Rattus norvegicus: one gene and its partner. The main gene of each other region encodes a partner of the protein of the gene in region 2 in a complex. Links are inferred from orthologs where the notes say so. Each region holds a gene or a part of one and is shown on either strand. Other genes may lie near its edges.

Region 1 (4,448 bases), on a different chromosome or scaffold from region 2:
AGCATTGGTTACAGAACTGACAGTGGTTCTTAATCATTGGCAATGAAGTCTGTATTCTGCTTTCTCCTGTGTTGTGCTATGAGAGCACCTACTATGTCACAGTCCATTCACTCCATCATACAGCACCAATATTCCTAGCCACCCATGAGTGGTGTCCCAGGGTCATGACAATCATGTCCTTGCACTGAAAGTCCATGCTTCAGGCCGCAGTACCCATGACATGCTAATAAAAAAGAAGAATGCGACTTGCACAGTGATGTTGAACAGGATCCTCTTATCACCCACTCTTGAACTTCAGGAATATTCAGAAGAGTGATTACCACAGATAAACAAAGTCACTGATCACTATGCCACCCAGAGACGGTTGTTTGCTTCACATGTGTCATCACACCATAGTCTTTCAAATAACAAAGGCTATCACAGCAACAGGTTTATAATTTAGTTCATAAACGAATAATACATGGAGATCTTTTCTGACCAAGGAAGGTTCTTTTATATCACCACATTGGTACAATGTATAGTTCTTTACTGCCTTCAAGCTCAGTCATTTACTGTTCTGTCAACTCTTCACTACAGATGCTGGCAAGTACCTTTGCAGGTAAACACGCATTCATCCTCACAACTGCTTCCACACCGGTTACTCTGAAGTGTCATACAGCATTTACTCATTTTGCCAGTTTGATCTCCAAAAATTTCTGTATTAATTTGCCCTAGCATCTAATATTTCACAAATGACAATATCAGAAATGTCGATTATTAGTTAATTGTAGCTGATTTATTAACACATTTATTTAAAAGCCATGAAATGGGTTAAGTATTTGGAATATTAAAGTTTTCTATGGAAAACTTCATTCTTTTTTGTTAAAATATAATTTTTTCATCTTTGAGATCTACTGACTTATACAGGAAGAACAAATTTAAAACATGCAAAACCAAATGAGGATATCACTTTAGTTTTTAAATTACGATGTTTGAATTTTGCAATGTTAGCATAAATAATCTAAATCATAATTTTAATATTATATATATATATACTATTCAGATTCCCACAGCAACTTACCCGATTCTTCTTCAGGTTAGAAAGTTCATCCACAATAACTTTCTGTTCTTTAATCTATTAAAGTAAAGAAAAAAACCTAAAGTGGAAGTTTTCAAACTATGTTTAGTGAGCACATTTTTAGCAACTGCTTTAAAACAAAACATGGGACTGGGGCCTGTCATGGACTGCCTGTCTAAATGGATACTGTACAGATGCAACCACACTCAGGCTGGAACCAGTAGAAGACAGCTGGAGAAAGAAGCTGACTTAGACTTGCCAGGCGCCAGTTACCACAGCTCACATCTTTAACCAGGGTGAGACACTGTCTAGCCAAATTAATACCAATCTTTTAATTTTATAAGGCCTGGCTGTAGACTAAAAAAGAGAAATGAATGTGGCTTCTCCTCTTTACCAATAGCCAGTGGTTTTATGATGTATGCACTGGATGACAGCCAGACATTCGGATAAAATGAACGGAACGGTACTGAACGAACGCCCTTCCTGCAGTGGTACAACATCATCTCCCACCCTTGTATCATTCTATTTTGAGTATTAAGGACAGCATACTGCTGGTATCCTTAAGCTCAGTTTGTTCCTTATCATCAGATGAAATGCCCAAATAGGCAATAAGTCTACACTGACACAGCTACACAGTGCCAAGAGGCTTGCTATGGCAGTAGCCAGAGTATTCTGAAAACTCATCCCCACCCAAATGAGTGTGCATGGGCAGTGCTAAGAGCTGTACTAACATACGACAAAGCTACATTGAGTACACCCTCCCTGAGATTCAAGGCTGCTTGTACAGCGCTTTTATGCTCACTACAAACGACAGGTATATAATATATCTCACTTTAGGTGACACCACAGAATACTGTGGCACACTGGAAATAAGGCAATGTACTGAAGATGTCATACAGGACAGAAAAAAAATATGGAATTCAGGATGTTTAATAACTGAAAAGGCTGCACCCACACCCCCTCCAATCCACACGTTTAAAGATTTTTGTCTGTAACTGGAAGTTGAGATCACTGTACAGTTCAGGTATGGGGTTGCCTCCCTGAAATCCTGACTATTAGGCAAGAGAATAATTCAAGGTGATCCTCAAACAATATTTGAGGCTGGCCTGAGCTACTTATGAAACCCTATCCCAAAAAGAGGAAGGGAAAAAATTAATCTGCTACAGTCCTGGTTGAATAATAAAGAGATGACCAAACTGATGTTTTTAGGATCACTTAAAGGTGAGAATATATTTTAAGGTCAACAGGCAACTGATAACTTCGGTTAAGAAAATTTTGCCTGAGTCTGGAAGAACGGGCAGATTTCTAAACTTTCATGATGGACGTCATGGATGGCGTCCAGGCGGGTACATGGCTAAATGGATGAAGCACAGCCAACGAGCAACAGATCACATGTGTGAAGGGTTCCGAGAGGAGAGTGGTGCAAACGCGTAAAGGAAAAACGTCATTAAGACCTCTGTCTCAGTATCACTGTTGTTTGCAGTGGATAAATCTGTGCCTCCATCATAGCAAATCTGCAGGACGCAGGGGAAACCAGCGGCCGGTGCTGAGAATGGACCGGTGAGGCTACTGGGCACCGATGCGACCGCGGGACCCGTTTCCCGCCGCCCGCCGCCCACCGCCCATCCTCGGCGTCCCACGGCACCTTACTGCTAAGGGCCTCGGCGTGCGCGGTCGATGTGCGGGTGGGTCCCGGCGCGGCGCTGTCTCCGGGGTGCTCCGCACCGCTAGGCATCGCCACGCCGCACCGAACGGAGGAACCGCGGTGGATGAAACAGCAGGCGGCAGGCCCAACCGGAAGCCAGTGTTCCTTTCAGGACCCTGCCCCTTCCGGAACCTCGACCAATGGAGTGCGCATATTTACGCCTGCTCAGTAGCAGGCGTGGATACTAGATCCTGGAACTCCGACTTTAAGTAGCTGTGCATCAGCGCACATTAGTTTTGGCTAAAGGTTCGTCTGGCTTGGCTGGAGAGTCTATGAATGGTCTGTGTTGCCCCCTAGCGGATGCTATGTAAAAATAAATCACTAATCAGTAGTGTGCCTAACACTGTGGTCTTGGCTTTTTTTTTTTAATTTTTTAAATTGGATATTTTTATTTACATTTCAAATGTTATTCCCCTTTCCGGTTTCCCATTCATAAACACCGTATCCCATCCCCACTTCCCCTTCTTCTATGAAGGTGTTCCCCGTCCCCAACCACCAACCGCTTCCCACCTCCCCACCCTGACATTCCCCAACAATGAGGATCCAGCCTTGGTAAGACCAAGGACTTTTCCTCCCCTTAGTGCCCAACAAGGCCATACTCTGCTACATATGCAGCTGTAGCCATGGGTTTGTCCATGTATATAGTCTTTGGATGGTGATTTAGTCCCTGGAGCTCTGGTTGGTTGGTATTGTTGTTCTTATGGGGTTGCAAGCTCCTTCACCTCCTTCAATCCTTTCTCTAACTCCTCCAATGGTACCCCGTTCTCAGTTCAATGGTTTGCTGCTAGCATTTGCCTGTGTATTTGTAATGCTCTGACTGAGCCTCTCAGGAGACAGCTGTATCAGGCTCCTGTCAGCATGCACTTCTGGGCATCAGAAATATTGTATGTTTATGGGCTGGAACCTCAGGTAGGGCAGGTTCTGAATGGCAATTCCTTCAGTCTCTGTTCCAAGCTTTGTCTCCATATCTCCTCCTATGAATATTTTTACTCCCCCTTTTAAGAAGAACTGAAGCATCCACAGTTTGGTCGTCCTTCTTAAGCTTCATGTGGTCTGTGGATTGGATCTTGGGTAATTCGAGATTTTTGGCTAATATCCACTATCAGTGAGTGTGCATACCATGTGGTTTTTTTTTTTTTGTTTTTTTGTTTTTTGTTTTTTTTTTTGTGATTGGGTTACCTCACTAGGGATGATATTTTCTAGTTCCATCGATTTGCCTATGGATTTCATGAAGTCATTATTTTTGTAGAAATATACCACATTTTATATCCATCCTCTGTTGAGGGTTATTTGATTCTTTCCAGCTTCTGGCTATTATAAATAAGGCTACTGTGAACATAGTGGAGCATGTGTCCTTGTTATACGTTAGAGCATCTTTTGGGTATATGCCCAGGAGTGGTATAACTGGGTCCTAAGATAGTACTACTTCCAATTTTCTGAGGAACCTCCAGATTGATTTCCAGAGTGGCTGTACCAGCTTGCAAACCCACCAACAATGGAGGAGTGTTCCTCTTTCTCCACATCCATGTCAGCATCTGTTGTCACCTGAGTTTTTGTTCTTAGCCATTCTCACTGGTGTGAGGTGGAATCTCAGGGTTGTTTTGATTTGCATTTCCCTGATGACTAAGGATGTTGAACATTTCTTTAGTTACCTCTTAGCCATTTGATACTCCTCAGTTTAGAATT
Region 2 (4,452 bases):
AGGCTTAGCCAAGTGTCTGGCTTCTATCCCTTAGAAACGCTGAGGATCCTAGAATATCATATTAGAAGCATTATGATATGGGAAAATTAATTTCGTATTGACACAGATCTACTGAAGAAAAAAAGAGACTTAATTTACATTTTCCCTGTGACACACGTTTGCTCCAAAAAGAGCACTTACACTGAAGTAGGTACCTGCAGTTAACCCCTTACTGATGTACATCCGTGGACCATTCTCTACTTTTATCAAGTCAACACAGAGAAGACACTCAAAAGGATACACAATATTCAGGAGTGATCTTACAAGCGATTTAGGAATGCAGTCAACACCTGTTTTGAATGTAGTTTTGAGGGTATTTAGTTAATTTGAAATTCACTATAGTAAAACGGGGGTTGGGGGACGCTTAACAGAATAACTCTACGAAGGAAAAAAATGCACTCATTTATTTTAGTTTTGAAGGGGAAAATTCGGTAGGTTAAAAAGGATAAGCCCTTTTCCTTACCCTTATTTCTACATTCCTTGATTTCAGGTTAAAGCGTATCTGAAGTCCTAAATGTTCAACAATCGGGGTAAATATCTTCATCCAGTTTTCTTTTAATGGTGTGTATCTGTTAGCTGGGACGGGAATTTTTCTCGTTTCTTCTTTCCCAGTCTGCAATAAAAACAAACACACACTCAGAAGGCGAGTGGAGAGATGCGGGCTGGAAAGGTGAAAACCGAGAATAGACCCTTTCGTCTGCCTGGGCCCCGCCCCGTCCCATCCGGATCCCCACCAGGAGCTGATCTCCCGAGAGCGGCGGGAAGACCGGCCTCTTCGCCGGCCGCGCCTCCTCCGTGTCCATGCGTCCAGCGTCTCCATCCTGTCCCGCCGCTGACGATTGCTCAGCCTGTCGCTTCTTCGCCCGGCGGCCCCCTCTGTGCGTGACGGGAGTAAAGCCGTCCTCCGTCCCGGTGTTTTGCGTCTCCATCTCGGCCATGTTCAACCCGGATAAGTGCAACCACTGGAACACGTGCGAGGTTGTGCCGCGCATGCGCCAGCCTCCACCAATCAATTTGAAGGCTCCGCCCCTTTTCCGAGGCGGGGTCCATGCGGGGGGCCTAGGGCAGGATTGGTCCGCGGTTCGGAATGGCTGCCCTAGAATATGCCTGTTTGCTAATGTCTCCGTGCCGTCTCGCGCTCGCAGCCAAAGCATTCACATTCTCTAATGTGTCTATGTGAAAACGTTGTGGTAAAGGCGGTAAATCAGCTTGTGCCGTGTGTGGAGAAGTATCTGGTGCGGTCTCAGCAGCTCACCCGGCATTTTCGGAGGCAGCCAAGCCCAGCTTGCTAAGGCGTCCGGGTTGAGTGCGGCTAGGGAGGGACAAACTGCCCCTGAGATGTTTGCAGTTTGGTTACCAGGTTAGCGTTTGGCTGCTTCTGCACCATGTCCACCTTCGAGAAGCCTCAGATCATTGTCCATATTCAAAAGGGCCTCAACTATACAGTGTTCGACTGCAAATGGGTGCCCTGCAGTGCCAAATTCGTGACGATGGGCAACTTCGCCCGGGGCACCGGCGTTATCCAGGTGTACGAGATCCAGCGCGGGGACCTAAAGCTGCTGCGGGAGGTGGGTGCAGGCTTGGATCTGTTTGGGTTTGCGTGGGTCTGCATCTCTCTTTGCCACAGCAGAAACAGAAAGGAGATTACAGATTGAGGAATACTTCAGAGTTAAAACTTTAACATCCCAAAATCTCCTTGCAGAGCTAGTACCTCGGCTCACTGCCAGCCTCTGCCTCTCGCCATTCTCGGTGCAGTCGATTGCAGGGTTTCTGGGAAGCCAAGTGGACATTGCTTGGCAACGTTCGAGGACCATTTAGGCTGTTGGCAATTGTTGTAGTCTACTAGTAGGTCTATGTAATAAACCCACGTGCCATGCCAGCAGAACCAAATGAGGCACCAGCAGGAGACCTACCACGAAGTTGGTGAAGACTAGTAAATACCCCATTCTTTCACAAAGTGTCAGTTCAATGCCTGGTAAGGCCCAGACATGGGAATTGCAATGCCAACGATCTTACGGAATTTATTTTCTGTTGGGGGAGACAGTCAAACAGCCAGACCAAGGATGCATAATGTAAATCAAGATGAGTTTTCTAATACACAGGTCTGTGAAAGTAAAAACAGATTTAGGATGAGTAGTAAGCAACTAAGGCAAATGCAGAGTAGAATATGACGTTTCCAGAAGAAACAACATGAGATAGTGGTGGAAGATCGTTATCTTTTAAAAAACAAAAACCCAAGCTGGAAGTGGTATTGCACAACTTTAATCGCAGCGTTCGGGGGTAGAAGCAAGAGAATTTCAGTTTGAGACCCTGTTTGCAGCGATCACAACCCCTGTTAAAAAAAAATTACCATACACATATAAAAGGGGTAAGTAGGGACCATTGCAAGATCTGTAAGACATTTAACAGATTTGTCCTTTTTTTTTCTTTAAGAAAAGCAGGACACCACTGAAGAACTTTTAGGAGGATAATGAATGACCAGATTACAGGTTTTGTAAAAGGCTGCCAGGTAGCCAATTACAGAATGGTGACAGTAATTGACATTTTCCCCCTTCCTTCCCCTCTCCTCCCCTCCTTTCTCCTTCCCTTTCCTGTACATGTTTTTTGTTTTTTTTTTTCCCTGCATGTATCTGTGTGTACCATATGCAAGTGCACCTGGTGTCCCAGGAGGCCGTAAGAAGGTATTGGATGCGCTGGAATGGAGTTCCGGTGGTTGTGAGTTACCTTGCGGGCCATTCTGCTCTTAATCACCAGGTTGTGTCTTCAGCCCACACTGTTCACGCTTTAAAACTCTTTCTTTCCTTTCTTTCCGAGATGGGTGTTTTCTGTTATCCAGTTGGCCTCAAACTGTTAAACCAGCTTCTCAGGGGGCTGGGATTCAGGCCTGGAGCCACAGTGCTGAGTTGTGGCTAAGGAACAATTTTATAGTTCCTTAAGGTTTTCAGAATGTTTCTATTTGGGTTGACTGAAACAGATAACAGTTTGTTGTTGAGGTGCTGAGAGTTGATAAGAAACTAGGGCAAGTAGGAGATAAATAAACTTGCATGGCAAGCTATGTGTTCCTTCCCTGAGCTTTGCTGAGAGCCTGTTTTCTGGTTTAGTTCCAACTCTATAGCCAGGCATTGGACTTGGAGATTCTAAACATGGTTTGATGCTTCCCGCCTTGCCTTGTGTTCCTCACTGCTTAACGCGCAGTCAACTCTTGCCAGTCCAGGGGCCAGTTCGGATTATCTGATCTCTGCTCAAGGAACCTTTCAGTACATTCCACTCCTATAATACTGACTGTCTGTGGCAGAAATAAACAGTCTGCCGCATAAGCCAGAAAGCAGTGCCTTCTCCTGTGCTTTGTAAAGACCAGTCTCTCAGTACACATTCATTCAAAGAATGAAGACTGAATGAACCTGAGACCCAGTTTTAAATACTGGTGTAGGGATTGCCAATCAGTGTTTCTGGTAAGGACTCTGAACAAGGAAGCATTGGCATAAGAGAAGCCTTAAAGTGAGGGCCAGTCAGCCCTCAGCCAGAAAGCATTTACAGGCTTGTGTTTTGCTTTCCCAAGAATTACAATTTTTTTTATATAGTTTAGTAATAAGTTATTCGAAGTGAAATAGTGTTTATCTCTTCTAATTTCTGAAGAATGCTAGCAAAGTCTTATTTATTTATTCATTTTTAGTGAAAGTAATATGTGTTTATGAGAGAACGTTTAGGAAATATAACTAGGGATAAGAAATTGTCATACCTAACCTGAACCACAAGAATGACGACTTTGATGTTTTGCTTCCTTTTCACTCCACTAGTAATTACTGAGGCTGCCATTAGAGGTACTGGGCTAAAAAAGAACATTTCTAAGGAACACGTTAGAAACAAAGCAACTTTCAGAACTTAATGTTGTATTCGTTTGCGCTGCAGCAGAAAAGCGTGCAGGTTAAATACAGTCAGTGGTTCTCACTGCATCAAAGTTTATTTCTGTGTTTGGTTGCTAATCATGGCTGTGTACAAGATTTAAAATACCCATGCCTTGCTTATTAGAAATGCGACCTTCTGCTAGTTGATTTTGGTGAGTGCCAGAGTTGAGAACTTTTGGACCAGGTAGATTACTTACCTAAATTTTAGGAGGCATACTCATTTTGTTATGATGAATTGCATCAAGACTTGCTCCGAACCCACTGCACTCAAGATAGCAGAAAAAAGGCGCAGGTCGGCGATTGCCCGTGTCCTGCTTTATCTTACTGCTAAAGAAGTGGATAGACATGGAGGGCAGAAGGCCGGGAGTTTGGCATGCACCTTTAATACCAGCACTCAGGCAGTAGAGGCGGGAAGATCTCTGTGAATTTGATACCAGCTTGGTCTACACTGCTACTAGCCTCAGAATAGCCAGAGCTGCCTAGTGAGATCGTATCTCAAAAAAACAAA

What was found.
Region 1: Dnaaf10 (region 2) and Asdurf share a complex: the UniProt entries of both Homo sapiens proteins name them as parts of the PAQosome complex. The link is inferred for Rattus norvegicus from reciprocal best matches to the Homo sapiens genes DNAAF10 and ASDURF.

What each region holds. Positions count from the first base shown.
Region 1 is NC_086027.1:55,617,200-55,621,647, reverse strand, and holds the start of Asdurf (ASNSD1 upstream open reading frame protein), read right to left. Parts: upstream 2,850-4,448; 5' UTR 2,793-2,849; coding exon 2,703-2,792; intron 1,115-2,702; coding exon 1,061-1,114; intron 1-1,060.
Region 2 is NC_086032.1:95,818,890-95,823,341, forward strand, and holds the start of Dnaaf10 (dynein axonemal assembly factor 10), read left to right. Parts: upstream 1-1,382; 5' UTR 1,383-1,424; coding exon 1,425-1,607; intron 1,608-2,141; exon of another isoform or gene 2,142-2,682; coding exon of another isoform or gene 2,683-2,793; intron 2,794-4,452. Other genes in the region: RNA-binding protein PNO1, read right to left, coding at 503-652, 774-977. UniProt on the Homo sapiens protein: Key assembly factor specifically required for the stability of axonemal dynein heavy chains in cytoplasm.